5 linked regions of the Kluyveromyces lactis genome follow. The protein of the gene in region 1 purifies or fractionates together with the protein of each later gene. This does not show direct contact. Links are inferred from orthologs where the notes say so. Each region holds a gene or a part of one and is shown on either strand. Other genes may lie near its edges. The genes, in order: RMP1, POP5, RPP1, POP6 and POP4.

The links.
Region 2: the proteins of RMP1 (region 1) and POP5 purify together in Saccharomyces cerevisiae (affinity purification with mass spectrometry; 3 studies listed by BioGRID, with this or other methods). This does not show direct contact. The link is inferred for Kluyveromyces lactis from reciprocal best matches to the Saccharomyces cerevisiae genes RMP1 and POP5.
Region 3: the proteins of RMP1 (region 1) and RPP1 purify together in Saccharomyces cerevisiae (affinity purification with mass spectrometry; 4 studies listed by BioGRID, with this or other methods). This does not show direct contact. The link is inferred for Kluyveromyces lactis from reciprocal best matches to the Saccharomyces cerevisiae genes RMP1 and RPP1.
Region 4: the proteins of RMP1 (region 1) and POP6 purify together in Saccharomyces cerevisiae (affinity purification with mass spectrometry; 3 studies listed by BioGRID, with this or other methods). This does not show direct contact. The link is inferred for Kluyveromyces lactis from reciprocal best matches to the Saccharomyces cerevisiae genes RMP1 and POP6.
Region 5: the proteins of RMP1 (region 1) and POP4 purify together in Saccharomyces cerevisiae (affinity purification with mass spectrometry; 5 studies listed by BioGRID, with this or other methods). This does not show direct contact. The link is inferred for Kluyveromyces lactis from reciprocal best matches to the Saccharomyces cerevisiae genes RMP1 and POP4.

What each region holds. Positions count from the first base shown.
Region 1 is NC_006040.1:1,447,477-1,452,644, reverse strand, and holds RMP1 (Rmp1p), read right to left. Parts: upstream 3,823-5,168; coding exon 3,172-3,822; downstream 1-3,171. Other genes in the region: TRM82 (Trm82p), read right to left, coding at 250-1,581; SPE4 (spermine synthase), read left to right, coding at 2,213-3,103; ACF2 (endo-1,3(4)-beta-glucanase), read left to right, coding at 4,429-5,168. UniProt on the Saccharomyces cerevisiae protein: Functions as part of ribonuclease MRP (RNase MRP), which is involved in rRNA processing in mitochondria.
Region 2 is NC_006042.1:218,900-225,173, reverse strand, and holds POP5 (RNA-binding protein POP5), read right to left. Parts: upstream 1,146-6,274; coding exon 501-1,145; downstream 1-500. Other genes in the region: mRNA splicing protein PRP45, read left to right, coding at 1-425; ALA1 (alanine--tRNA ligase), read right to left, coding at 1,456-4,326; KRE5 (Kre5p), read left to right, coding at 5,083-6,274. UniProt on the Saccharomyces cerevisiae protein: Component of ribonuclease P, a protein complex that generates mature tRNA molecules by cleaving their 5'-ends. Also a component of RNase MRP, which cleaves pre-rRNA sequences.
Region 3 is NC_006039.1:1,284,668-1,291,217, reverse strand, and holds RPP1 (RNA-binding RNA processing protein RPP1), read right to left. Parts: upstream 3,771-6,550; coding exon 2,913-3,770; downstream 1-2,912. Other genes in the region: GIC2 (Gic2p), read right to left, coding at 254-1,360; KLLA0_C14740g (uncharacterized protein), read right to left, coding at 1,832-2,392; SUM1 (Sum1p), read right to left, coding at 4,212-6,550. UniProt on the Saccharomyces cerevisiae protein: Component of ribonuclease P, a protein complex that generates mature tRNA molecules by cleaving their 5'-ends. Also a component of RNase MRP, which cleaves pre-rRNA sequences.
Region 4 is NC_006038.1:533,548-539,417, reverse strand, and holds POP6 (ribonuclease P/MRP protein subunit POP6), read right to left. Parts: upstream 4,740-5,870; coding exon 4,278-4,739; downstream 1-4,277. Other genes in the region: VRP1 (Vrp1p), read right to left, coding at 1-879; KLLA0_B05995g (heme-dependent oxidative N-demethylase family protein), read right to left, coding at 2,194-3,666; RPP0 (60S ribosomal protein uL10), read left to right, coding at 5,412-5,870. UniProt on the Saccharomyces cerevisiae protein: Component of ribonuclease P, a protein complex that generates mature tRNA molecules by cleaving their 5'-ends. Also a component of RNase MRP, which cleaves pre-rRNA sequences.
Region 5 is NC_006042.1:193,855-200,332, forward strand, and holds POP4 (RNase P/RNase MRP complex subunit), read right to left. Parts: upstream 5,103-6,478; coding exon 4,278-5,102; downstream 1-4,277. Other genes in the region: cullin RTT101, read right to left, coding at 1-1,541; KLLA0_F02167g (uncharacterized protein), read right to left, coding at 1,708-3,591; SHG1 (Shg1p), read left to right, coding at 3,845-4,231; AIM22 (putative lipoate--protein ligase), read left to right, coding at 5,370-6,478. UniProt on the Saccharomyces cerevisiae protein: Required for 5.8S rRNA and tRNA processing; associated with RNase MRP and RNase P.

The sequences.
Region 1 (5,168 bases):
GATATTGCGCAGTAGTAACCCAATATTGTACCATAGGAAGTAATTTCGTTGTGCCAATCTTTCAGTGGTTCAAGTGTTTGTTCTGAATATCTTTTGTAACTATTTACATATCCAATCTTTGTTATTGTTACCCGCAACACGTCGGGTGTACAACTCTTAACGTATTCTGAAGTATAATATGTTCTACATTATATTATATAAAACAATGTTCTATATGTGGCAGCATGCCGATACTTGCCAATAGTACGATCATGAGAAATGCTCGCCATGCTTTCTCAAAGATGCATTATGATACAATGGGTACACATCACCAGCTTCGACATTCGCGATTAAGTCTGATTTCAATGTTGATCTTATCGTATTCATCAATTGAGAGTTAGTATCTTTCTGTTCAATGAACACATCACCCTCGAGTAAGAGTAGTTTCACTAAATCACAATCTTGGTTGTCTCTGTTGTCTAACGAAATGCATAATGTATTGACATCCAAAGCACTGGTCAAAGATACAATTTTTTCATCGAATTCTAAAGTTTGATGCAAAGATAAAGCACCAGATTTTTCATCCACTTTCAGCACAAACAGTACCTTGGTAGCTTCCACGAAAAATGCAATATATGGGACATCTTTTAATGTGACTATTTTAGCAACACTGTATTCAATCACATCGCCTTTCTCATTTTGGAATCTTTCTGGTGCCAAATGGTCACTAGTTAAGTATTTTTGAATCAAATCTGTATAGTCAAACTTGAATAGCAAAGCACCAGTTTTCCAGTTCCAGGAGAAGACAAATTTGTCACCACCAGCACTGAAAAGTAGTTTATCACTCCACTCAGGGATGCATATAGTAGAAACGAATTCTTCATGGCCGAACAACCATTTGTCCACAATAAAACTTTGAGGATAGTGTGAGATTCTGATGTGTTCATCCCTGTCTGCTGTAACTATATATTGTTTCCCCTCAGAGTCAGTCAACATGTTAACATCTGTGAGCATGGATACGTGCCCTAGGATTGGTGCCTTTTCGGCGTTGATTGAAGTAATTACGTCATTTTGGATGGGCATAGAATAAACGTCTCCAAATTTATCAGCAAGAATTAGATCCTTATCGTCAACAGATGTAGTTATAGCATTTGGCCTCTTAGGGTAAGGCTGACGTTTAATTAGTTTAAAAATGTTGTCTTTATCGTCCAAATCGATATTGAAAATGACAGCTGCCTTGTCAGAATCGGTGCAAGCAAGTAATAATTTCCCATCTCTTGACAACGCAAGGTTTCTAATATATTGATACACTGGAGGAGCTCCTGGGCCAGGTTTTGGAACTTTTGCCTGCTTCTTGGGTTGTGCAACTGGCTCGCCGTCATTTGTCTTCAATTTTTTAGAAGCATTCTCAATTAACTGTCTGGCTTGCTCTTTTAAAACCTTCTCTTTAATCAGAGGTGTATTATCCAGATCATCAACCCACTCCCCACGTAGTACGTATCCGTTCCCTTCAACTTTAAATGCCTTTATCTCGTTCTTCACAACACAGAATAGTAAAGAACCATCCCGGTTCAAAAGAACTGATTGAAATGGATGAAGCATTGGAGGAAAGACGCTAGTAGAGTCGAATCCCTAAGTTGTAGCAAAGTTATGTTACTCACTGTAGAACACCTGAGGCCCAATCCAACTATGAACTGCAGTACTTGTCCCTCGTCAACCTCTTAGTCTTTCGTACATATTTTCACATCTTGAAGCTTGATTGAAAATCCGATGCGATGAGCTTCGAAAAATTTTAATAAACTCGTAAGGACTCAAGACTAGTCTTGATTTAAAAGCATAATTATAATCATCATAGGGCTCACTAATGGATCTGAATTTTTCTGAGCATGTATACAATTACCTATAAATCACTTGAATCGGGTTTATAATCCTTTATGGTGCGTGAATGAATGCGGTTTTGTACATATCGTAGCTTTGAATTATATGTTGAACTAAAATTCGGAATTCTTCTGCAGTATTGTCTGCTGAAAAATTCGTTAAAAAGAGAGAAACTGATATCTCTGCACTAAAGGCCTTCGACCTTGATCCACCGATTGAGATATAAATCTACAGGATCTTTCCAGGTTGAAGCTTGGTGACAAAATTGAGTTCAAGTGTGCAGCACCGATTCATTTTGTCTGAGTGCACCGCATTGCGTTAATCGAAGGATTTTCAGTGAAATACAGTAGCTGCAATGTCATCTAAACATCCTTGCATCAAAGATGGGTGGTTTAATGAAGTTAGTGATAAGAGTTTCCCAGGTCAAGCATTCTCATTGAAGGTCAACAAGATCCTATTTCACGAGAAGACGCAATTTCAGGATATACTGATATTTGAATCGTCAAATTATGGTAATGTCTTAGTGTTGGATGGTATCATTCAGGTAAGTGAGAAAGATGAATTTGCGTACCAAGAACTGATCTCTCACGTTCCACTGTATTCACACGAGAACCCAAAGAAAATTCTAGTTATAGGAGGTGGAGATGGTGGGGTTTTGAGAGAAGTGGTGAAACATTCTTGTGTAGAGGAAGCTACACTGGTTGAAATTGATGCTAAAGTCATAGAGTTATCAAAGAAGTACTTGCCAAACATGGCGTGCTCTTTCAAGCATCCCAAGGTAAATGTGAAGCTGTGCGATGGGTTCCAATTCTTACGAGATGTCGCAGAATCGGGTACAAAGTACGACGTAATAATTACTGATTCGTCTGATCCGGAAGGGCCTGCAGAAGCATTTTTCCAGAAGGAATACTTTGAGCTGTTGTACAAAGCGTTGACTGAAAATGGTGTTGTTATTGCACAGGCTTCTGAAAATGTCTGGCTGAATTTAGAATATTTGAAGACGCTTCTGAATACGTCTCGTTCAGTTTTTCCAGTAGCTGAGTATTGTTACACTATGCTACCCACTTATACCTCCGGTCAATTAGGGTTGATCGCATGCTGTAAGAATCCAAACACAAATCTCATTGACCCCTGTCGTGCTCCAACTGAGGATGAGCAATCTCAGATGAGATATTATAATAACAAGATGCATTCCGCTGCTTTTGTCTTACCTACATGGGCTAGAAAGGTACTAAATCCATTGTGAAATTCTGTAAACTGAACACTAGAAAAATATACATTATGTAAATATTCGAATACTCGAAGGAACTACAATCAACCGAATAGATCATCAATAGCTGACTTCTTCTTCTTTTGCTTTTTCTTTTTACCGTATTTATTGTCCTTTTTCCCGCTGGCAGCTAGCACTTTTGAGTTGTCATCTGTACTTTTAAAAATCGCCATTGTTTCCAGATCTTCGCCAATTTCTTCCCCTATCTCTTCGTCAGCTATAGATTCCAAAGCTTCCCGTACCTCGTTGTCGGACATCCCAGGGTTGACAGAACTGGTATTGTTCTTTATGCATCCAATCCTACGGAAATCTTCTTCCAACGTATCATAAATGTGCATGTATACCGTATAAATACGTGCCAAATTTCCTATCAGTACTACTCCCAACGTCACAAACTGTCCCAAAGATATTACACCATTGAAATCATAGTACATCTTCTTTATCTGTAACTTCAAAATCGAATACAACAACGAATGAAGCTTCAATAACTGTTTATCATGGCAAACGCCTCGAAAAACCAAGCCTTCAATTATACGTACAGCCTGTGCCACGTTCCTTTTCAAAATATTTAGCTGTTTCCACCATACAGTCGCCCCGTGCTGGTTCTTATTCCTATGATATATGAGGTATACTATTCTTAATTCTTGGCGAAGCTGCACCACTAGTTTCTTATTTATTTCAGAAATACCACCCATGATATTGAGTAATTTATCGTCAATACTCTAACAAACCAGCATTTCGTACAAAAATGAGAGCCAGGACACGCATCTCTGTTTCATCTGTGCTTCACTTCTACCTCATCTCATCTCATGTTCTTAATACACCGATTCGTTTTTTTTTCAAGATCATCATCATCTTTCGAACAAATGTTCCAAGAAAAAGCCTACAATTGCATCCTGCACCGCCCTTTATTGAAAAGAAACCAATAATCATTGCACGCGAGATGACCTGTCACTCCGTAAACGGTTAATTGGATAATTTGAACTCTGTTAAATTGATTGATTATTGTGTCACTTGAATCACTGGAAAGCAAAAAAGCCTGAGTTTTTCCATTGATATTTGTGTCAGGAACGTCGAGCCTCGAGTCGTGCATTGAGTATAAATTAGAGTAAATTTATGCTCGAATGAACCCAATTGAAACAAGAGAACTTAATAGTTTACATCCTGTTCATTGCAAGAGCGGTTTTTGATGGTTTATCCAATATAAAGTAACTCGAAATCTGTCTGCTTCTTAAACAAAGAATACAGTCTTCGAGCCCCAACTTCACATAATTATACCTTCTTTTTAAACATTCCAAAGTATGTCGTATCAGAGACCTGGGGTGAATATACCAAATGGTTTTCAGAGAGATCCGATCCCCCCTCCGTATGCTGAAACAGATCCATTATCTTCCAATTCACAAATACCCTTACAGCCCCCTCCACAGGTACCACCACGAATTCCTCCTAGACGAACTCAGGATTCAGCTTTTGGAGATTATGTCTGGAATAGAAACACCCCTCCGTTGCCTGCAAGGCCAAATACGCAGGGAATTGAAACGGTGGTCCCTAATAACACATCTCGGTCAACTACTAACACAATGGATGAAGTAACTAATCAACTAATGTCTGCTAATATCTCGGCAACAAACGTTTTCTCTTCGCCAATCTCCACTGATCCACCTTTGGCTGTTTTCTCAAAGGTAAATCATGAGGTGCCACTCCCTTCAGGGACTAACAATTCCGGTAAACCAACTGAAACCAACAAGTTTTATGGGAACATCATGCTTGGTGGTGGGACAAATCCAATCTGGACCCATCCATACTCAGTTTGGTATTCTACTGATTCATACTATGGTTTAGCTCTAAATCAGGTTACCGCAGCCCAAAGAGTCTTTGATACCACTAAGACTCCACCTCAATTTTTCTTTGGTCCTACGGGTATCAAATCGCTAGTCTATTCGTCAACTGATTTCAATTCTGCTGGAGACATGTCGTTGGCATTTTACAACATCAAACACTTATCAGTGGATGTTCAGTTGAAAAAATCTGACACTGAATT
Region 2 (6,274 bases), on another chromosome or scaffold:
GCGAATTGGAACGGTCGAATAAAATGAGCACAGCAGAAAAGTTAAGACGATTGGCGTACCAACAAGGAAGAGATGTTTCTGATAAAGTTGTTTTAAATGCTGCAAAAGCCACCGAGACCCCAGATCTTCAGTACGATTCCCGCTTGTTCAAGAAAGCGGCATCATCTGTGGCATCATCTTCAAATCAAATTTTCGACCATCCATTGTTCAATAATAGCCAGATTGACAACATTTACAGGCCAACTACTGGTTCTAACTTAGAAAACGAAGATATTGTTGATCGACTCTCAAATAAGAAAGGAAGAACTGGACCGGTAGAGTTCTCCGCTGCTGATGATGGCAAAAATGCGGAACAGAATGAGGAAGATAACGAGCATGCCAGAGAATACGGTCTTCAAGTGCGTAAGAAGCCTCATACTTCTTAATTGTGCGATACCGATATACTGATATAATTGTATGTAATAATATTCAAGCACTACTAATTGAATGAAATCAGCGAATCAGTCATTATTTTCATCGTCAGTGATTGAAGAAAACTCATCATTCCTATCATCTGTCAGAAGTATTCGGTTCAAACGGTGACTTCTTCTGATAGCAAATAACTCAACTTTTTTAATAGTTCCGCTAACTTTTATTGGATTCATTATGATGGGCCCAACAGATTCAATCTGGTTCATCAAAGCAAGTGCCATTATTACGTACTGATGGTCATCATGGCCACATCGTATTATACCGGTTGATGTTCTATTCGAAAAGTATTTGATCTGTAACAAAGCCGTAGCCTTTCCCAAGCCATAGTCCCCGAAATTCACCTGTAATTGTTTTCGTAGTTCCTGCAAAATATTTCTCGGACTGATAGTATTTGGTGATACTTTGTGATGCGTGGTTAAAATGTCCTTCTTGGTTATATCTGGCACTGTTTCGTACTCATCATCTACATCTGGATATAGTACTTCGAAAAGAATGTATCTGCTCTTTAAACGAACCATTGGATTTCTTCTATTTTGCCTATTATGACAGCAAGTTTTATTAATAGTAGGATGAAACCCCCGAATAAACGTTGTTGCACAACCGTCCTTTATCAAAATCTTGATTCCTTCACAGTTGATCTCCATCATAACTCTAAATCTTGTAATGTGAAGCATCTCTCTTTTTTTTTTTTTTTTTTTTTTTTTTGGTTTGTCGCATTCAAGTCACAGAAGAAGAACGAGAATACGCCAAGCATGTCCAATATTTTATGCATTATTGCCGCATCACCAACCTTAACTAACAGATTGTGTAAATATCAGATAATTCATTCTCTATATAACAAAAGGCGTAGCATATCTTTCAAGTAATATCATATATAGTTGAGTTGAAAATCAGAGTTCTCATGCATATATTTACAAAACTTTGAGACTTGAGATTAACTTCAAGCCAATCGTAGCCAAAGAGTTTATATTAAAGCGGGTGAAATTAGATAGTCAGTCTCTCTTTTAGCAAGGCTTCAACTTCCGCAACAGCGGAGTCAATACCGTTTGGTTTGTCACCCATACCTTGGAAGACATTTCCCTTACCACCAGCTTTACCACCGATGCTAGAGGATACTGTTTTGGCTAAACTAGAACCATCAACACCTTGAGCAATTGCTGCGTCAGATATGTAGCATCCGTGAGCAACCTTTCCGTCTGGTTCATTACAAGTGAATAAGTAGATAGACTTGTCCTTCGAGTTTGTTTTAATGTGATTGATAGCTTCAGTGATGGCCTTAGCATTAGTTGGAATGTCAATATGCTTGACGTAGAAAGAAGACTCTTTGTTAGCATCAAAGTGATGTTTGACGTCGTCCAGAGTTTGTTTAATTTCCTTCTTAGCTCTAGATTTCAGTTCATCTTTAACTTCCTTTTCAATTTTGTTGAATTTATCCTTCAAGTCAGTTTTGGTGATAACGGAAATAGTTAGTTGGCCTAGTCTGACACCTAGCTCCTTTAGCTTTTGGGCCTTTAAAGGGGAGAAAGGCAGTTTTTCAACTGCAGTTAATTCGCCATCAAATTCAGTAGCAATTCTTTGTACTTCATAGGCTTCAGGTCCAGAAACCGCAACAATTCTTCTGATACCTTTGGCAATACCACTTTCTTCAACAATGACGAATTCTTTGATGTCACTAGTCTTAGCAACATGGGTACCACCACAGAATTCAATGGAGTACTTTTGCCATTCTTCACTAGTTGGGTTCTCTAGGACTTCTTCAACGGCCTTACCAATAGAAACAACACGAACTGGATCCGGGTAAGTTTCACCGAAGACAGCACGGACAGAAGAGATAGTCTTAGCCAAATCTAAGGCAACTTCCTTGTAATACACAGTTAAGTTGTCCCTGATCTTTTCATTGGAGAGTTTTTCAACCTCCACTAATTCCTCATAAGATAAGGCTCTCTTGTGCGAGAAATCGAATCTCAACTTTTCCGGTGCAACTAAGGAACCCTTTTGATCGACATCATTACCCAACACTTCTTTCAGAGCAAAGTTCAAGATATGTGTACCAGTGTGATTATTTCTTAGGGGATGACGACGTAGCTCTTCGTAAGAAGCAATTATACTGTCACCAATAGATAGTTTACCGTCACCAAGAGAACCGGTATGGAAAACATAACCGTTGTAGGCTTGAACATTGTCGACGTTGAATTCTGCTTCACCATCGATAACCAACTTACCTGTATCGAACTCTTGACCACCTTGTTCGGCATAAAAACAAGTTTTGTCTAGAATAACACCATATTGCTTACCAATTTCGGTCATAGAGTCAACGAATTTCTCACCATCATATATTCTCAAAATAGTGGCTTCAACGTTTTCGGTCCCATACTTAGATGAATCATCAGTCTTAGCGACATTATCACCGTTAAGTTGAGACAATTCATGAACGTTTAATCTGATCAAATCAGATGCACCCTTCTTACCACCTTTCTTAGAAGCCTCGTATGATTCCTGTTTAGCTTTCTCAAAACCGATTGTATCGATCTTTAAGCCCTGTTCTTCAGCCATCAATTCAGTCAAATCGACAGGGAAACCATAAGTATCGTATAGTCTCCAGACTTGTTTACCATCCAAAGTCTTGTCTGCTTTCTTCAAAGCATCTTCAGCATACTTTTCAAACAATTTTTCACCACGGTCTAAAGTTTTTGCGAAAGAAGCTTCTTCTTCGTCCAAAATTTCGAACAAATAAGATGGGTCTCTAGCGACTTCTGGGAACATATCCTTAACTTGTTCGATTAAAGTGACAGACAATTGTGAAAAAAAGTTTCCTATAGGGTAGTTCATGTACTTTCTAGCGTAACGTGCACCACGTCTCAAAATTCTTCTCAAAACGTAACCTCTACCTTCGTTGTTAGGAACACCACCATCAGCCAAGGCGAAAGTTAACGTACGAACATGATCAGCCAAGACTCTGTAAGCGGTGTCAATACCATCCGTATCCTCAGCACCAAATTTACCAGTGTATGATCTGACCCCAGTGATTTCTTGGATACGGTTGAACAAAGGTTCGAAAACGTCGGTGTCGTAATTAGATCTAACATCGTGCAAAACGGACACCAATCTTTCGAAACCCATACCAGTATCGACATGTTTAGCCGGTAGAGCTCTTAGAGAACGATCTTGTTCTCTGTTGAATTGAATAAAAACGTTATTCCAAATTTCCAACACATCTGGATCGTCTTGATTAACAAGATGAGCAGCGTTTCTACCACCAATTCTGTCATAATGAACTTCAGAACAAGGACCACATGGACCTTGTTCACCCATTTCCCAAAAGTTATCCTTGGCATTACCTGGCAAGATATGATCATCCTTGACGCCAACGGATTTCCACAAATCACGAGCTTCGAAGTCTGGTTCCAAACCCAATTTTTCGTCACCTTCGAAATAAGTGACGTACAATCTATCACCTGGAATACCGTAGACTTTGGTCAACAATTCCCAAGAGTATTCAATAGCTTCCTTCTTGAAATAGTCACCGAACGACCAGTTACCCAACATTTCAAAGAAAGTGTGGTGGTAGGAGTCTCTACCAACATCTTCCAAATCATTATGCTTACCACCGGCTCTGATACACTTTTGAGAGTTCGTAGCTCTCTTCAACTTGTAAAAATCACTGGATGGGTCAACTGTTCCCAAAAAGATTGGCTTATACTGATTCATACCAGCATTGGCAAACAATAAAGTTGGATCATCGAATGGAATCACGGGTGAAGATGGAACAAAAGTATGGCCCTTAGACTTGAAATAGTCCAAAAATGTGGAACGAACGTTGGCAGCCGTCCACTTAGACTTATCACCAATCGTCATCCTAGCTGTAAAACTGGAAAATAACCTGCAATTAACGCGAAACACCTTTCCTAAGGACGTCTTCGAAAGCAAATTCTAATCAAGAACGGGAAGATTTAATCAAACCGCTAAAAACGATGAGTAATGATTAAATTAACGACTTGAAACAACGGGAAAAAAGTTCAGAAATCCCCCTAGTTCTCTGAATATGCCGCCTAAGGTTTTCAATAACTTTCGAATACAACAAACGAAAGAGCAGTAGTAGCCTCTGAACCTGAGTCCAAGCCTTCTACTCATCCGTTTTTATGTATAAGTTAATTGTTCAAAAATTCCAGAATATCTTCAAATCACTTTTTGATATTTTTCTCAACGCTTTCCGTTTCACAGATAGATAGAGCCAATGAAGAAAGAAACTAGGAGTCACGTGAGAAATACACTCACGTGACTCTTCATTCGAAAGTGGCTGAAGCTACCTTGCCAGTGGATCTGATAGACATGCGTAAAATCCCATAGTACTAGCTTAGGGAGTAGCATTATAGTAATGGTGAGGTTTACAAATTCTATAACATGTGTAGGACTTTAACATGCTTCATATTTCCAGCTTAAAAGTTTTTTATTGGCAGAAGATCCCGCAAGATTTTTAAGGTTTATATTTGCCTTCTATTAAGATCAGAATTCGAGATGAAAGAGAGTATTTAGATCAGCACAATTTGACAGTTTGTGTTCCAACAAGATTGAGTGAACGAGTTTCCTGATCTAAAACGGTGCAAAACCACGATGGTCTTGTTTAGGTTACGAATTGTGTTTTTGCTGTTAACTGTCCTGCACATAACGCAAGCATTTAATGAAGGAATTGGTAAGAGATGGCTTTCAGCGTCCCTTGTTGATTACGATGCATTGTCTACCGACCAATGGATGCAGTTGTATAGAAAAATAACGTTAAGTGATGAAGAAGAGGATGAAGAAGATGAAGATGACGATGAAGGAATTGAGGAATCTATAAGTTCAGCTTCGGCTGAGAAAGTACAACAAGTCGAAGGCTTGTCCGGTGCCATTTCAAAATATGTACAGATTGCACCAATTGATGATGAATTCAAAGAAACTTGCTTTGTTTTGAATGGCAAAATATACTCTAAGAGCGATGACTCATTTTATTTCAAGACCTCTGAATTGGATGCTCAAGCTCTTGTTCCAGATTTCGATGTGTTAAAAGATAGAGAGATTGCAATCGGAACTAATGCTTCTGCTCCAATTGTGGTACTTTACGGTTGTGAAACAGATTTAGAGTTTGCTGATTTCAACAGAAATCTTTATAATGAGGCTAAGTTTGGTAAGATTAGAATGACTTGGAGACCGACCTGTATCATAGGTGATACACCAGAATATGCATTGAGTGCCACATTATCGGACAAAAACTGGGACCAAAAGGCAAATGTTCACCTTGTAATCGATGATTCTGATCTAAAAATTAAGGATCCAGTCAAATTGAAATACTTGGATCAAAAGGAACTAGAAGATTTGGATATGAAATTCACCGCGTTATTGTTGGAGAAATTCAATGAAGATCATGATTTCGATTCTTTCTTTGAATATTTCAAGTCGTTGTCCTACAATTTTCCTGCAGTGGCACCAGTCATTGCTTCTAAAGACAACATTGATACAACACCAGCAAAGAATATTGTTAAAGACTTCAATAAGAGAAAAATCTCTCATGAATTACTTGGCTTGTACATCAACGGCCAACAGTGGAGATTGTCAGAATTAGATGAAACTACTTTACCTGCTATCCTCGCTAAGGAATGGTCTAGGGTTAATGATTTAAAAGAAAAACTAAGTAAGTTCCCCGGTGCTGAGTTAGAGAACTTTTTGAAATATTTCACGGTTGGCTACTCATATACGGCTTACTTTGACAAAAATCGTTACGATTTCTATCGTACTCCAGGTTTCTCTGAAGCTGTAGTTTTCTTCA
Region 3 (6,550 bases), on another chromosome or scaffold:
ATTGCTAATTTGGAAAGAACAGTTTACTGGAAACGAAAATAACGTTGGATGGCGCCAATTGAAAGACGTACAATGAGTGTATATCTGTACACATGCAGATTGGGGATTAATTATTAATAAATGAACGACGAAGGGTTAATCTGTATCAAAAAGAGAGCTGATTTCAGTAAATGCAATAACGAGTGAAAGATGGGTATATTTTCTTGAGAACAATTGTGAAAGTGAATGGAATGGCCCTGGCCACGGGTGAAGATCATAGAATAGATTTATAGTAAATGTTTGAATTTCTAGCGTAGGAAAACTCACTAGAGCTTTCATCCAATGACGATCCAGCATCACTAGGCTGTAGATAGCATAATAAAACATCATCAACTGACCTTCTGGTTCTTGGAGAGTCTAAGTATTCTGATGGCCTTAAAATTGGTGTCAGAATTGGATCAGAGTTTCTTTTCAATGAGTGCTTTGGTGTAATTGATTTTTTTGGTACTGATTTCAAGTCATCCAAAAGCATAGTCTCTAAAAGATCCGCAGAATTTACTGGTGTTTCCCATTGGAATTTGTCTATTTTCTTGTCTCCCGTTTCAGGTGTTGATACCTGGAGGATTGATTGTTCTTCTAGCAAAGTTGGGAACTGATAGTTTTTTAGGAAATCGACATCTACTTCACTGGCATCTGATTGAGAATATTTATGCTTCAAATGTGTCTTCTCTAGGGTAGTTAATTTTGAAATGGAACGCATATGCGAATCGTTTAGCAAGGAGGTAGCCATTGTTGAAGTTGATGTCACTCTTTGGTTCGAGTACGTACTGGATCCAACCGAAGAACGTTTTGTAGATGACCCTCTAGAAACCAGATGGTGTTTAGCATATGGAATTGCATCTGTTACGAAAGCTTTAGTCATTTGCGTTGGGGAATTGATTGTTGAGTTTGTCGGAAATTTGGTATTTTCCGGTATATCCTGTAAGTGACTGTTAGATGGTGGTGGTGAATCTGCAGTAGGCATTTCAAATCCTGCCTTAGAATCTGCATGTGAGATGTGATTAAATCCAAATGGGACAGAAATTTTTAACTTAGGAGGTTCTTCTTTACTTGATTTATTTTGAAACAGTTTTAAGAGGCTGTTCTTCTTCTTCTTGAAAGATTTCTTTCCAGATTGTTTATCATACGCATTTGGCGGCAATGGAGGAAGATTAATGTTTTTCCTATTACTTAAGACAGGTTTATCACTATTGATCATTACAACGCCCAATTCATCATCATCGTCAGAATCCAGAAGCTGGTGAGCTTGTAAACCATATAATTTTTCTGTTTCATCGTCTTCATCGAGCCAGATCGACTTGATCTGAGGTACGTTCATCATAAGTATTGGCCCAGATCTGTTGGTTGTTTTATTCGGCAATGCCTGGTTTCTGATGATTCAAATCATGGCCTTTGTACCCTGGATCATGTTTATCCGTTTATATATACATATATCGGCCGCGTCCACAGTGGTAATGTTTCATGCATTCCTAGGTTTCACAATTTTCTGACATTTTTCGCATCTATGGTTAACTACTACTGGATTCAGTTAATTTAGGAATTCCTATATTAGGTAAAAACACGATTTTTCATTTTCGCACCCTCTTCAGGAATGCAGATACGTTTCGTTGATCGAAAATTAATGTTTTCTAACCTCTCTAATTCACCATCGCCAATCCGGTTTTTTCTTTTTTCTTGGGTTTCATGTCTTCTTTTTTTCTTTTGGCGGCCGTTATTTTTTCTCAAGTTTCTACGGCTTTTTTTCGTGGGTTAGATAAGTCATTAGTTGACCCAACATGGTTACCAATTACGACTATTTCACATTTTTACTCCATAGACTTTCTAGACTCTTAGAACTGGCGGTTCTAGGTTCCTCGGACTCTTTGGAAAAGCTTGGTTGGGGTGTGTATTCATCGGAAATGCTCAAACTATTGAAAGAAATTTCAATGAACTCAGAAAAGTCTTTCACTATCGCATTATTCTCGGAGTCATCTGCTGAAATCGATGTCGGGGTGAGATTTACGCTCAATTTTCGTCTGTTGGTTGAATCCATTCTCGGTATCACTGGCCTAGTACCTGCTCTATAATCTCTCTCCATTGCAAAATTCATATATTTGATTTTATCCAATTCTTGGTTCGATAACGGTTCTGTAACAAAAGCCCTAGAGCGCTTGGAAAGGAATGTACTATTATTCGTTCTTGCAATATCAGGTGTCGTTGGACGACCAGCCAATAAGTTTTTAATGTCATCGCATTCGCTCAAGGACTTCTCTATACGTTGTTCCCAATTTTCTTTCCGTTTATCCTTCAAACTGCTTCTTTTAAGAATGGAAGAGCGTCTCCATTTTCGTAAGTAACTCTTCACCTCGCCCATTTTAACTTTGTGTGGCACTTGTTTTCCCAAGTTACTGCCTTACGTACTGTCTGTGTTTTTTATATAATAGACCGTTTCTATGTAAGGCGGTTTATGATTCGAAGAAGAAAATCGTAAAGTCTCCAAGCTGGATACTTTTATACTCTTTTCAATAGCCGCTGAGCTTTTGATCGGATTTACACCATGTATGTGTTGCGGGTAACAGTAACCTGCTCTTTTTACAGATATTAGAATGAAAAATAACTTTGGGTTTAGAACTTGATAGTAAGTTTGACTTTGGAAACTAAACGTAAAATTGGACATGTTAAAGATGAACTCAAAGTGGATTGAAATCACCGATATCATTACTCTTACCCATAATTTCCTAAATTTACCTTGTATCCATCTTTTGCTTAATGCTTATTGTACTATTTTCCTTATATAAATATAAAATCTATTATATATCGTATTATCGGTACTATTGAATGCTTCGAGAGATTCAACAGTAGAAGTGCAGTATGAAAATTAAGTTCATGGTAATTCAGCTTTTTGTTCTTTTCGAGTCATCACTTTCCAGTGTATCTGGGTTTTTCCTTTTGACTATTTTGAACGATGAATTCTGTGTAAAATCTTCATTGACTACATCTTCGTTACCAATACAAATGACTTGCTTATAGCTCTTATTTCTTAATCTACCATTTAGAAGTACCAAACTAGCAAGCTCGCCCATGGATTTACGAGATTTGTCATTCGGAAGCCCAATAAAGTTCAAAATGCTTGTAACTCCAATGACATTACGACATTCTAGTGGGCTGGTTGCTCCACTACTGACCACGATTCCTCTGTTCCTGCAAGTTCTGATCACACTCTTCACGTTAGATACGAACTGCCTACGTGTTCTGATATCTCGAAGAGCGTTAGCATAAACAATTTCTACTTTGACTCCTCTCTTAATGCAACCCCCCATCATGTGATGTTTCAAAAGTGTAGGAAGCCTTTTGTCGTAGTAAAATGATAGCACATCAACATCCAAGCTAGACGTTACGAGAGTAACAGCCTTTTCACTGACTGGAAGGGCTGCCACAATATCGAAAGCTTGCGATATCTTTGTCAACGGCTGGCCTTTTGAAAGGTCATCTATAATAATTGTGATTCTTGTATATAGCTTTAATCCCGTAGATTTCACTAGTTCATCAAAATGCGATAGATCGATAGGATTCATATCATTGATTGATTTTGGGAATTTATCCTGTTGGTTTACTGTGAAATTTAAAGCTATGTGAGTGTACCCTAGTGTATGCAATGTCGCTAGAGTCTTGTGCAGCGTTTTAATCTCCTTCGTGGAAGGCGGTGTTGCAAAATCCTTCTGTGGCCAAGGAACGTTTAAATCAACTAACATCCTTTCAAATAGCTATTTTGCTTTGCAAATTTGGAAGGAGTATTTACAAGTGATTCAACAGAAACTTTTGTTTCCATTTGAGTGTCCAGCATACCTCATCTCATGCTCATGTTTCATTATTTACTAGATTTTTTTTTTGGTAGATTATTGTAATGTCTTTTCCGAAAAAATTATACTTGAAGATATTATAACATACTATGAAGTACAATCCTTACTTGAAAGCCCAACTGTTGAAAAATACAACTTTAAACTTCATCCAATCGGCCATGTCACAATGTTTTTGAGTATGAGAACAATATTATCTAAATAGAATAATTGTCAGTTTATTTATAGAGTACATACCTTACTATTTGTTCCATAAAGTGATAAAATGTCCGTTAAAATAGGTTTGATGAAAAACAGCGCCCAAAAAGGAACCATTATGATCTATGTGCATAAATATCATTGCGTAGAGTTCACATCTTCTGAATCTTTCGGTAAAGAAGGTAAGTGCTGATCTTGATTTACAGCTACCGCCCCAGTAGCATGGTTTGTATTTTCTTCAGTTCTATTTCCAGCCAGTTCCGGAACTGGGGTTTCTGACTGTTGTTGGACATGCTCAGTGTGTAATTCCTTTGTTCCCTTGTCTGCGGGAACATCATTCGTAACATAAGGCTGTTCTAGAGGGCCTTCACTGTTTTCTTTGTATGGAATAGAACTTGATTTCTTGTTTGAATTTTTGCTACCATCTTCTAGGAAATCAAGAACCAAAATATTATCGATTTCTCTATTAATATTCATGACATCGACGCCATTTTTACCAACAAGCGGTAGTTCAGTGCCTCTGGCGAACATCCATTCTCTCCAATGAGTATTCGTATTATCACATAAATCAAAAAGAATCATTTTTAAAAGGGTAATGTGGTTGTAAAACCATGAAACCGACCTATTGATGAAGACTCTGTAATTTTCCATTTCTTTGATTGCATGCAACAATGTATAATTGTGGAAACCTCTCTTATCTTTCGACTTGTCTCTCCAAAACTCAAATAATGCAAATAAGGCTTTCCGTCTTTGCCAAGTTCTCTTAGATTCTCTTAGCTTTAGACCTAAACTTACCAATCTATTCTCCCAACGGAATTCCATCAGGAAATATTCTAATGAATTGACGTATCTCTCGGTTAATATGACATTGGACAAAACTTGACAAGCCATTGAGGTTTCAATCTCAACGTCTGGTTTAAGGAAATACGCGTTGATTCTATCCTGTCTTGTTAACTCGGCGTAATCTTCTTCATGCATTGTTAATTTAATCAATTCGTCTTCTTTGTGTCTGAACTTCAAATCCAAATACTCTCCCGCTGTGATTGGAATTGTAGAACCTTTTCTATAAAAAAAACCTTCACGGCAGTAAAGTTCCACAGGGGATGACATTAACAAAGACGCTGCATTTTCTTGGGATTGATTGTTAGAGCTTGGTCTTCCCCTTTTATCTTTCTTTTCTGGTAACATCGGAATCATCCTGCTCATCTTTCGACGATCATGCAATGTTAGATGCCTTTTCTTATTTGGTGATTCACCACCAGATTGTAAAGTGGTGACGGAAAAGTTATCCTGCGAGTTTTCTGTCGAATCAACAGATAATTGAGAACTTGGTAATGCGTCTGCAGATCCTTGAGGAGTCGAATTTGGCATGTCTAACAGATGAGGTCTAGCCGAGCCATTCTCTTCTGTTTTTACACCAGTAGATGCATCATCATTCAAGATAGACAAGATTCTGACCTTACGTGGTCCCTCTGCTTCGTTGGACATTTGAGATCGATCACCGATGTCCGAAGATGTTCTTTTCACAGAGCCGTTCAGATCCTTGTGCTCAGAATTCAGTAACGACGATTTTTGACCGTTAACATCATCCGCACTTGCCGTAGAAACTGAGCCTACATTGCCTGGTTGTTCCAAATTGTTATATGCTGATATAATTGTTTGTGGTGTCACAGAGCGAGCAGAGTCTGGAGGATTAGACGAAGGTGATTGAGCACCAGAAGAATTCTCCGCTGTTTGCGACAGGGAGAAAGGTACTTTTGATAACTCTTCCAAATGTTTACTTGAAAGTTGATATTTACCCAACGGTACTGGAACGCTGAAAGGCACCGCTGTCATTCTTTTCTTCCGTTCTTCTTGTTTCATGGCCATGAAAAGATCTTTGTTGAGTTCCATGAAATTCCTGGTAACGTTACGATCGCTATATTTCATGGTGACTAGCATCCTTTCTCTTTCATCTCTTTTCATTTCGAGCTCCTTCTGTTTTCTGGAACGAGAGTCATGCATATCATTAGCCAACTGTTTCTGATCGTCTGTGACATCGCCCTCATCATCTTGCCCTTCATTATCAGACATACCGGAAAACGATGATGAAAGATCCGATTGTTCATCATATTGGCGCGAACCACTTTTCAATCTTTGAGATTTGCGTCTAGAGCTAGAGCTTTGCCTTTCCTTGGTATCATTATCTGCAGCATTTGTCTTTCTTTGTGAAGAAGTGAGTTGAGCTTCCCATGTGCTTTTCTTTGAAGGTCTACCTCTACGTTTCTTTGGTTCCTGAGGAGTCTCTTGCTTGACGTTAGCAGAACTACGAGATCGACTGTTGCCAACCCCATCTGCATCATAACCTGAGTTGGACTCCGTCTTTTCTTTACTTGGGTCCAGGAAAAGACGTTTTGATTTTGATATATGATCGCTTGGGAATGGCAATTTCGCCTTTTTATCGCCATTGGACAATATCGAAGTGTTCTTCTTAGGTG
Region 4 (5,870 bases), on another chromosome or scaffold:
TGGTGGTGGTTGCGGCGTGGACGTTGGGAATGATATGCTTGGAGGTGCAGGTGGGGCTGCAGGAGGGGTACTGATTATGGGAGGTGCTGGAGGTGCTGGAGCTGGAGGTGCAGATGTAGGAGGTGCAGGCGTAGGAGGTGCTGGTGGGGCCGCAGGAGGGGTGCTAATTGTGGGAGGTGCTAGAGGTACTGGAGGTGCCGGAGCTGGTGGCACGGCTATAGGAGGAGCTGGAGGTGCAGGTGGTAACGTTACAGGCGGAGCAGGTTGTGCTTGAACCGGAGGTGCTTCTGTGCGTTGTCTTGCTGGAGGATGTTTCGGAACCGGTGGTGTGTTCATCATGGGTACTGGTGGCGGACTTGTTGGAATTGCCGGTGCTGCCATTGGAGGAGGAGCAGGAGGAGCCGCCACTGACGAATCACCCTCACTTCTCAAAGTCTTTTTACGCTGTGGTCTATTAGAAGGAATTTTTGGGATTGAAGAGCTATCCGGAAGCGGAGGAGCTCCAGATGGAATAGCTGGTGATTTAGAGGAACCCGAAACATGTTTTAATTTAGGGATCCCACCAGCAAGTATATCTCCCAATTGAGGGACACCGGGAAGCTGAGTTGGAGTCGGGATCGATGGTGCTACAGGCGGGACTGCTGAGCTCGATACTGATACAGAGTGGCTCATCGAACTTGATCCTCCAATCGCAGGTGCACTCTTATCCACAGTGTGTGCTTTCTTAAGTTTTGCACCTTTCCTAATATCACTCAATAAGGCATCACGTCCTGGAACAGCCGCTGGGGGTGGGACAGGAGTTGCAGCGGAGCCAGCATTGGATGAATTTCCGCCAAACATAGGCGGAGGAGGTGCTGGTGGTGGAGGTGGACCAGCCATATTATTCTAATTTCTATGTTCAGCAAGTTATCTATAACAAAGTATGCTCAAATCCTTAAGTCTTATAGAACTTTTAGCGGAAACACACTGGTCAATTGGTATCGCTATGATTCTTTTCGAATAACTACCTTAAACGCAGTGGACCCCTATGCACTGCAACAGTTTGTTTCTCTCTGATTTGACGTTTCTTTCATTTTTAAATAGCTAATTGATATCTGGAAGCCTCAAGGATACCCGGACACTACACTTTCCACCCAGACACTACACTTTCAGTTCGGTGCTAAATCAATAATCAAGAAGAATACGGCAATGCAAGACGATTCTATGATACTACTACAGTACGAAGTTCACTGGACCTCTTCATGATTTCGCGGTAGCATCGGCATGTAGTAACTAAATGAGGAACATCGTTTTAGTGGAGTGCCATTCCCAGTTACCAGCCCTATACGAATAATTTACCAATATAATATATTCGGGTAACATTTTGGTATTGGACCTTGTCTTAAAAAAGTTTTCAAAGGCGATCAAGCATCTTAACAACTTACTATGTGAAGAAGGTACTGAAATCTATATATCATGTACACTATCTATAGCTAGTACCACCACCATCGGGGATTGGATTAAAAATTGAGCTAATATATTCCACAGCAAGATGTAATACGTTGTCAATTCTTTGTTTTGTTAGTGACAGGTGTCCTAACGCGAAGTAATGCATTTTCTGTCGTCGTTCTTTTAACTTAGCTAATGGAATCCGTCCTCATAGTATATAGATTTTAAGTGGCATCTTCGAAGATCCGTGCGCAGTTTTTCTTTCAGTGGTGCATGGATTCAAAGCGATGCCCAAATTGAAGATAAATTCACAGCTTCTTGCTGTGTGTTTCCCTCGTTTCTGTGGATTTTCCTCTGTTGAATGCTAAAAAACATCATCACGAATTTTCACGAATGGTTTTGGATGCATAAATAGCGTCCTTTACCCAGGAAACTGGGGCACATCTCTAAATCGTATGGTATTTTGTGATTCGAACCTTGGTTACCCAAAAAGCCTTATAATTTAGTCTCGGAAATGAACTTCTTGCACATGGTTTCGTATTCCAGACTTGTGAGGGAATGTCTTCTCAATCTTTCATAAAAATATCTATTCCGCGATAGTTTAATGGTTAGAATTCGCGCTTGTCGCGTGCGAGATCGGGGTTCAATTCCCCGTCGCGGAGAAGCTTTTTTATTTTTTCGTCACTGCATTCACATTCGACTCAAGCTCTATTAACAACACTCGTTAATTTAAGAGTATCTGTCAATATTGTTCGTTAAAGTTATTTACAACTTTCTATGTAATGCTGATTCAAGCATTTCAAGCAATGCTGGCCCCCACTCGGGTTTACGCTTGTATTGTCCAATTGAATCTTGCATTCCTTTCACTGCGTCACATAAATCCTGAATAACACCTTCCTGTGAATAGTAATCGTTTGCTAAGAACTCATCTTGCAAGTTCCATAGATACGTCTTGATAGAAAAACACATTGATTTTGAGTTTTCTAATTTGATTAGACATTGTCTTTCAGATCTGTAATGCAAATCATGACCTCCATGCATCTCTTCTAAAGTTTTCGGACGAATTTCCTCTTCCTCTGTACCCTTATTATCATCTGTGACAAACAGTTTGGAATGTGTTTGGAACGAGAAGTTTATCCTCATCACTAATTTTCCGGGTTTGTGAGTTTGGAAGAATTTATTCATTTGCGTCTGTAATTTTTGCTTATATTCTGGAACAGGTCCATGGATTTGTGTCATGGGTTTGAGGAATCGTTGACGAGGATTGAACCCTGCTGCAAATGCAAAACATCCCGAAATCATTATATATTCGTTATTATATTGGCCGTTAGCATTTGGAGACAACAGTACTAAATCTTCTTCAACCATTCTTTGTACCGCCAAAATCAACTCGTGAGCTCTCTTCGTCTTTTCTGTGGTTACTATGGCAATTCTTCCAACCTCATCAAATAGGTTTGATGGATCCTTCAACTCTTCTGGTATGATGTCTATGTTACAACACCGGTATTTCAAGAACTGCAAATCGGTACTTTGTAATTTGAGATAATGGAATGCATCCACTGGATGATACTCGTCCATGATGCTGTTGTACAAGACACCGGGTGTTTCATCATTTGGATGTAGCACCACAGTGAAGTATTGAGGGAACCTTGCGATCAAGAAACTTACTAGGGTATTGTACCACTCACAAACCGTTAGGTCAGCTTTTTCCACATCCTTTATCGTGACTAATGTGGTGTCTGTGATAGCTGCATTATCATAAGTAGTGCAATTAATCATAGCGGGATCCAAATGGTATATCACATCCTTGTAATTATTTTTGATCACATCCCACTTCTTTTCTATTCTATCTTTAAGAGTGCTTTCAAACACTAGCCAATATTCATTTGGCATCGGCCTTACACCCATTGTTAATCTGTATTCACCAGGCTTGAAAGGTTGGTAAGGGAAAGGTGGTGTATCGAACCATAATTTGTAATCCCTTTCTGCTGTAGATGGCTGGATGTCTTTCATGAAACTCACAGGTTCCCATCTCTCTTCTTGCTTATCACCGTTATCTTTTAGCGCAGTACTTTTCTTATCAATATCATCAGCGAAAACATCGTCACTAATGTTCACACTGGAATTAATTTGTTTCGCATCGCCACAAACCAGATCTTTATACAATTGATACGAAACGTAGCAAAATAGTGGGAAAGTTACCTGCTTACCCAAAATCAAACTCAAGTCGATTCCCATGTATCTATCCTTAAAGTAAATCAATACTGTTTCCGAACGTAATCGCTTCTTATCTTTTAGTTTTCGAACTGAAATTTGCCAGATATAAGTGAATTGATCTTAAAGAGTTTATATATGAATCTTTCAGCCCGTTTATATTACAGTTTTGACGACCGCAACAAAATCCCCGATAATGAATCATACTTGAAGAAACTGTCATGATCCCGTCTCTGTATCTCATGTAGTGATATCAGTGGCCTCACTTTTTTTTTTTTAAAATTGTATGCGCGAGAACAACCCTAAAACACTGGAGACGTGGAAGATTCCAACGGAAATTCGAAACATATCGCTCGAAGGAAGGGAATTTTAAAGTTATGAAATATTACGGCGAGGGATCGGAACTCAATATCCATCAATTTTGATAAGGTAAGCTTGCTTGCCTAATACAGATGAAATATAGGTCGAACATGGCAATTGCGATATTGTAGCTATTTACCAAATAAATTGGGTACGATATTTTTTTTGACGATCGGAATTTGTTCACTGTCCGCCCTGACGGATCACAAAGGTATATACAATATGTTTTGACTGGAAGCGTTATCAGTATACTTTAAATTGTGTCAACGTTGAAGTTACGATTGTTTTGTGAATTTATTAAGGCTTTTGACTTCTTGTTTAGTGAATAAGGTAATAAGTATAGGCAAGTTGACTTTTCTATCCAATAGTTCATTACGTCCAGCCTTGATTTCAATAAACGAGTCTAGTTTATTAAATTGATGTAGTGCTTTCCCGTTTTCAGTAGTCTTGAAGATCTCTATTATCGAAAGTGCTTTTTGTACATGAACTCCATAAGCAACAAGTACGAATGTATCAGCAGTGATAGCTGCGAGTTGATCCACACATTGTTTAATATTGGAGTTTTTACTGTACGAAATAATTGCTCCTACAGATGTCTCAGACGCATTGTTCCAACCTGCACTTCGCAGGGTTTCTGGGATGATTTTTTCTTTGATGTAGGTCGAACATTCTACGTAGGTGGAAGGATCTATGCCTTCTACTTCAATTTCGTTATATTTTAGTTTGGAAGAAGCCATCGTTGTTGCTTTGTAGCTAATTACTCAACTAAGGCGAGTTTCTCATCGATTGAATTATCAATACTCAATGCTACGATAACTTGGGAAGTTATTGTAGATTTCTTTTCGACGAGATGGGATGAGCATTGATACGATGAAAGCTATTCTGCGGACTGTTTACACCCTTACATATGTAAAAAATGTCAACACAACACCCATGCACCTTGATAAAACTCCAAAGGAATTAATTTCCTCTTTGACTAGTGGTCACGTGCATTTAAACAATGCAAACCCGTTGTATTAAGCAATACAACGTTAAAGTATTAACAAGTCCGGCATATGGATTGAATCCTCAGCACCAGATGGTTTTCAAGCGTAGAGGGTACATCCTGATACCATTCACTCAAGCTCCTTCTTTTTTATAATATACCATATGAGTTACACCTATTTCTGTATGATTAACGGATGCTTGTTTGTTTTTCATGTGGGCCTTAATTTGGAAATTGGAAAATCTCAAATTTTTCATCGCTGAGGGAAACCAAACTTGAAAAATATTGAATTTTATGATAAAACGTCCTTTACATATGAATATACATAATTGGATGTTAAGTACTTGATTAGATTTGTAGTTTGTATATAGTTTACAAGAACCACAGGTACTACCTTAAACATCCTATCACTAAAAAAGTCGAAATGGGGGGCGTCCGTGAAAAGAAAGCTGAATACTTTGCCAAGCTAAGAGAATACTTGGAAGAATACAAGTCTGTCTTCGTTGTTGGTGTTGACAATGTGTCTTCCCAACAAATGCACGAAGTCAGAAAGAACTTGAGAGGCAGAGCTGTTGTCTTGATGGGTAAGAACACCATGGTCAGAAGAGCTGTCAGAGGTTTCATCTCTGACTTCCCAGACTACGAAAAGTTGTTGCCTTTCGTCAAGGGTAACGTTGGTTTCATCTTCACCAACGATTCCTTGCAAGATATCAAGGAAGTCATCATCGCCAACAAGGTTGCCGCTCCAGCCAGAGCTGGTGCTGTTGCCCCAGAAGATATCTGGGTTCTCGCCGTCAACACCGGTATGGAACCAGGTAAGACTTCTTTCTTCCAAGCTTTGGGTGTTCCAACCAAGATTGCCAGAGGTACCATTGAAATTGTC
Region 5 (6,478 bases), on another chromosome or scaffold:
TTCACCATACCATTTAATGGTTCCGGTAGTATGAGTCCTGAAATTTCGGATGAATCCAACGAGTCCGAGATGTTAGATTGTTTAAGAATGACAGGAGTTATCTTTGGAGCTCTCTTCATTCTCAATGATTCAATTAGTTCGTCGTTTAGCTGCTGGAGTTCAAGAATGTGAACTGACTTCAACAGCCCACAGCAAAGTAGCTGTTGGTCGAATCTCTCGTTTGTTTTAATCAGCTGCTCGGAACCCCCCAATGACTTTAGTACCGACCGTAGAAAATATTTTCTCTTATATATGTTCCATAGTAACTCGTCTTGTTTTGAGTCTGGCGGAAAGATGTCGTTCATAAAAATGCAGCATGATCTAACCAGATCTTTAATCCCAGAAAATTGCCCTTCCTCAGAAACCTTACACAACCATCTGTCAACTTTTTCAATATTCTTTATGTCTGCATTAAAAGTCAATGTAATCATATTCTTCATTATTGCCTTTCGATTAGAATCAAAAGATTCGCTTGACATGGAATAGGTGGAGATGAAGGACGACAAATAGTCTTCGTCAAGCATTTTACATATAACTCGTACTACGAAGTTATCATATTCCTCACCTCGCCACGGGTAATAGGCATATATCATATCCCCTAGCTCTTCTATTATTGTTATTATCGTCATTTGATCATCCATACATCTATCGAAGAAATCCTCGAAGTATTTAAACTTCAATAAAAGAATATCCACAGTATTGATGCTTAAATTTTGACATAATATTTGATATTCGGAACAGTAGTATATGATTTGTTTTTGAAGACTGTCGACTCTTTTGAAGTGGTCAGAACTATAAGTAAAGGAGTTAATTATGCGATTAGTGGTTTCTTCAAAAAGCCCCAACACTGACGATTTATCAATTGGAATATCGTACCTGATAATGTTCTTGACCAAACTGAACTGGGATGTTGTACGTGATTCTAACGCTTCGACTATAAACGATTCGATAGTTTGTCGTAGTTGCGAGTGCAATCGATTTGCTATTCTTGAGAAAAAGACTAACGTTGCGTAGCCTTCTAATGATCGGCAGGAGATATTTTCCAAACTATTTGGAAGGTTCCGGAGAAAAGCCTTGGTGTAATATTGCAAAGAGTTCACCTTGCCCTGTATCTTTTTGTAAGCATCTTCTAACTCACATAAGTTTGTTAACCATTCTATATTCGTGAAATCTTCCTCGTCCACCTGTTCATTTATCAATTTGCTAAGAAGTGACCAGAGATCTTCAACAAACGTGTCCTTAAAGACAGCAGCATATTGACTTGAATTACTGGAAGCCTTAGCAAGCCTCGGTACTTTACATCTAATCAATTTTTGCAAAGTGAAATATATCTTTTCATCGTGTTTAAGGTCATCTCCTGGGATTTGATATTGTCTAAGCAGCAGTTCGAGCTCAGATAACAGAGAATCGTACAGAACTTTTGAGCTTTTGATTCGTTCGGGAACCAATAACGGCATGTCACATTGACTGTACGTTGAGGGTGGAACCTTTATGCGATACATACTGTCCCATAACAATTGAAATACTAAGTGTTATATGATCCTACGTACTTGCCCAATACTATATCAAAAAGACATACGAGTCACGTGCCAGGTAAAGGAAGTACATTGTGTTGGCTACGTAACTAGCAGCCAATGACGTAACAGTAGAAGTTTTGGTATACTGAGCTCATGGTATTGTGAAAATATTATTCACCAGAAGTTTACTGTTAGGTTTGAATCCAAGATTAAGTGCAAATATGCCATCTTCTTTCCTGATCAAGAGTCCGTGCTTGACTAAGGATGATAAATAATGGCTGAACATTGCTTGGTTGCGAACGGAAAGAGCACTAATCATTTCATCTAGCGACCAGCTTAGTTTTTTATTGAACAATGTATCAAGAATGACAGCATGACATAAATTGAAGTTTATGGATATGTTGGTTTTTTGAAAAATTGTAGGTTTCATGATGACTCTATGTAGATGCGGTTGATCATAAAAGTGTACATTAATACCATCACTTGTAATCCGTGGTTCGTGTTTGTTAACCCATTTTCCTGGCAGATTAAAAGGAAGTTTTGCCGAATTTTCTGAGTAAATATTAGGAAATATTTTTGCTGGTAAGATGATATCGTTCTTCCTATTGTTTCTCGTTATCTTTAATGACAAATGACTGAACATCCTGTTAATATTATTTAGTGTCCCAGCATCCTGCTGCATTACTATGTAAAAGCGAGCGAGGGGAGCGTCAAGTTCTAGTTTCTTGCCAACTAAAATAGATTTGACTAGATCTATGGTTAGATTATCTCGAATGATTTCTTTTATAACGTATTGCTCAAAATACGAAGCAGAAAATGGTTGAAATTGTCGAGTGTTCTTCAAGAATACTCCTATTTTCGTTAGCCATCTTCTTTCTTTTTCAGTCATGTTGTATGCTTTTTTACCCAACACATCTCCAATGTTGGTAGTGCCTGGAAAATAAGTAAGAATGTGTTTCACCATCAGTCTCATGAATTTAATAGTATTTTTAGAGTCCAATTCAAATGCGTATTGGCGGCTCATTATAGGCTTGCGCTGTTGAAGAATGAAATCCATCATTCGGATCAAGAGGCGGTGGTAATTAGGCCCAACCTCAGTCAAATCTTGTACCCACTTCGTAGTAATTTCGAGGTTAGCAGATAGTATATCCTTTTCGGTCAAAACACTTTGTAAACCACATATATTATAGCTGATACGCTGAGAATTGAGCGGTTGTGATGAACCGAGTTTCTGTGAGATCGAAGCTTTGTAGAAATCAACGTCAGCAAATACAGCAAAAAAACCGGCACGAGTCACTGCAAAAACTTCTTCGGGATATATTTGGAGAGTCACGTTGTGCAAATAATTCATGAAGGTATAAGCTTCCGCTTCAAAGTCCTTAATATCTGACTGTACTTGCAATTGGGTTTTGAAGGTTAATACCAAGCCCTCGAGAATAGATAAGATAAATCGTGGATTAACATCGTTGTTCTTAGGTAGGGATATCGGATCCAAAAAATGATGATAATGTGAATCAAATCCTAAGTCTGAAAATAACTTGCAAACCTCATAAAACTGGTCATTCGATATGGATCTTGTCTCAACCTCAATTTCAAACCCTCTTCTAATTAGATCGTTCAACTCAGAATATAATTTATATCCAACAATGGTGACCAGCCATTGTACGAGAAGTGAGTAATGTCGTATATTTAACCCGAGTTTGTGTAGTGCTCGCTCTAAAGGTAAGAAAAGAGGCTGTATTTTCCTTAGTTGAAGTTTTATTGTTAGGATGTGTTTTGCCAAGCTCCCAATAGTCAATGGACTTTCAATAGTGTTAGTCATATGCTGCATTTCATTGTCAAAGCTTTGTAAGAAACCTCTTGTGACATCGAGTAAACGGTTCTTATTGTCGTCCAATCCATTAGCATCCGAGTACCTTAGTTGGTCAATCCATCGTGTAAGTCGTTTATTCACATCTTTTAACTCATCCTCTGATTTATTCACTAAATTACCGTAGGTGAACCATGTTAGCTCTTTTCCGTTTCGAATATTCATGGGAAGTTAATAGTTCATATCTTTCAGGTGTCATACACAGGGCTCAACGTATAACAAGAAGCTCTATTGCTCCTGCCACTTCTTTGTTGAAGTGCATCTTGAATGGAGGTTTGACTATTGAACTATCTTGTCTTGGCCAAAAAACTGGAAATTTTGGCGATTTTGCAGACCTTTTCTTTGCAATTCAGTGTAAGAAATTGCTACCTTGGTCTGGTATTGATGGTTTCACAATCACCTAAGGGTAGTACACGGCATGAATAGTAATGGTAACGATTTGAAAGAAGAGTCTTTAGATCCTGCCAAATATTTGGCGGAAACTTTTAAGAAGGAGGGTCATTTAGACAGTTTAAAGAATGAAATACTATCTCAAAATGTAGAGGGTGATATTAGCTTGGACGAATTCATAAAGAGCCGAGTAAGGGATTTAGTTCGTGATAGGGTAAATGAAGATGAGTCTTTAATTTTCAAGAACAGAGGTACCACGACTGCTCTTCTTGAGGGCCAATTATTTAAAGACGGATTCAAGAGTTTAAACACGTCAAATATCGATGTGGAGAAGCTTCTGAGTGATTCACTTGACGATGCGACGACGAGACAAAAGATAAGAACTATCCTTGAAGCCAAAACTAATGATAGTTGATTGAACAGATAAAGTAGCAAGGCTGCTACATATATATTTTACTTCGTTAACTAATGTAATATAATAGGTCATCGCAACGGCGACTCTTAAATTTTCTACCGGCTCTATCAACACTTCTATATTTAAATCTATCACCAAGAATTGTATAGGCTAAAGATTCTTCTTCATTGATTGGAATCTCGAAATCGAAAGTTGTTCCTTTCTTCGGTATGCTTTTCAATTCATCGACTAATCCGCCTTTCGTTATGATTATGAATGTCTTTTGAGCATCCCATATTACAATACCATTTTTCCCAGTTAATGACTTGTTTTTGGATTTAGATACCTTCAACTTACACCCGTTATAATCAGCCATAGAGAGCTTGATCAAAGTTTGCTGAGAGTTCAAAGGTAATGGATTTCCAACTTTGTGATTATCTGGGATGTTCAACAATTCTTTCATGTATGGACACCATATATCTTCGAACATGGAGGAGAAAGTTTCAAAATTCGGCAGTTGCTCCAATAAATCTTTGTGTTTCTCTTCAAGGACCCTTTGTAGCTGGTCTCTATCTGAAATTTTTAGTCTCTTGGCTAACTTTTTGCAACTTGCGGATGCATTATTGCATTTGTTTATATATTCCTTCAACAAAACTCTTGAATTCTTGTTCACTGCCTTGTAATTTGGATGTTTTAACCCAGCAGATCCACCCATACTACTTGAATGAAGAAGTTTTGCCTTACTCTTCTTTCTAAGCTTGGTAGACAGACCTCCATCAGTTGGCATCAAGAACAACGTCTGTGTTAATCTATTCTCATTGATAGGTTTCCTTGGATTATCAAAACATTTAGTGAATAAGCACTCTTCTATAAAAGGTTGAATACGATCCATTTTGGAAGCCCGTATATCCGTTCGCGAAGTAACAGCTTTAAAACGCAACACTTACCGAATACTGGTTGTACCCAGCTTTAAAACCGGTAAGATTGTTGTCCCTTCGGCAGAATGTTTCTTTCAAGTTTATCTCATCTCAATTTTTCAAGTTTTACCCGATGAGCTTCCGATATTTGATTTACTTCCATGCACAACGTTGTGAAGATGAAGATATAAATTTCGTTGGGCTGAACAATTTGTGAGGACCTCTATGGGTGAGAAGCATCCATGATCAGTAAATGTACGCATCGAGTAGCGACAACGCTATTGAGAAGTGGTATATCCGTTCCAAAACGACTATATACTCCAGCAAATAATCAGATTCCATTTGAACTGGATGAAACAGATGAAAAATACAAAGAGCTCAACAACATCTATCGTGAGCTCTTCACTCCAACAGATAAAGCTAACATTCTTACTACAAAAGATATTGAATCAAACAAGCGTTCTGAAGTTGATGAAATAAATGAAGAGCTAAATTCCTTGTATTCTGTCGGTGTACTTTCACCAGCGGAGCTGGAAGACGCGGTAAAAAGTAATGGAAGGTTCGTCATCAGAAGTGTATCTACCAACCCATACTTCAACCTAGCTTTAGAGGACTATGTGTTTCGTAATACGCCTTTAACTGAGAACAAAACGGGAAATGAAAGAATACTGCTTTATACCAATGATAAATGTGTCGTTGTCGGTAAGAATCAAAACCCATGGAAGGAAACGTACATGAGAAATATCGCATCAAGAGGGTACAATTTTGTAAGAAGACGTTCAGGTGGAGGTGCAGTAGTGCATGATTTAGGAAATGTTAACTATTCGTATTTGACGTCGAGAGAAAGTTTCCGCAGAGAGTTCTTCAATCAGCAACTTGTACAATGGTTAAGTAATGAGAACATTACGTTGAACGATAGAGGCGATTTGATCTATAAAGGTTATAAGATAAGTGGTAGTGCTTTCAAAATAGCTAAAGGAAAAGCTTATCACCACGGCACAATGCTAATAGATTCAGACCTGGCTCAATTCAAAGGTTTACTAAAACCGGATGTAATTCCTGGGGTTGAATGGACATGTAATAGTGTCGAAAGTGTTAGATCTAAGGTTGATAACATTGGCGGAAAAGCAATATCGTCAATTGATGACTTTTGCAATTTGATTACGGATCAGTTCAGAAATCTGGTTGATGACTCTGAAATTCCTATGTTTTATTGTGATGAATCAAGTTCTTTACTCGAGATCACAGAGATCTCCGAAAACTTACGGAGCAAAGAATGGAAATTTATGTCAGGCCCAAGGTTTGAGGTAATTTGTAATGACGTTACAATAAAGGTCGAGAAGGGTGTAAT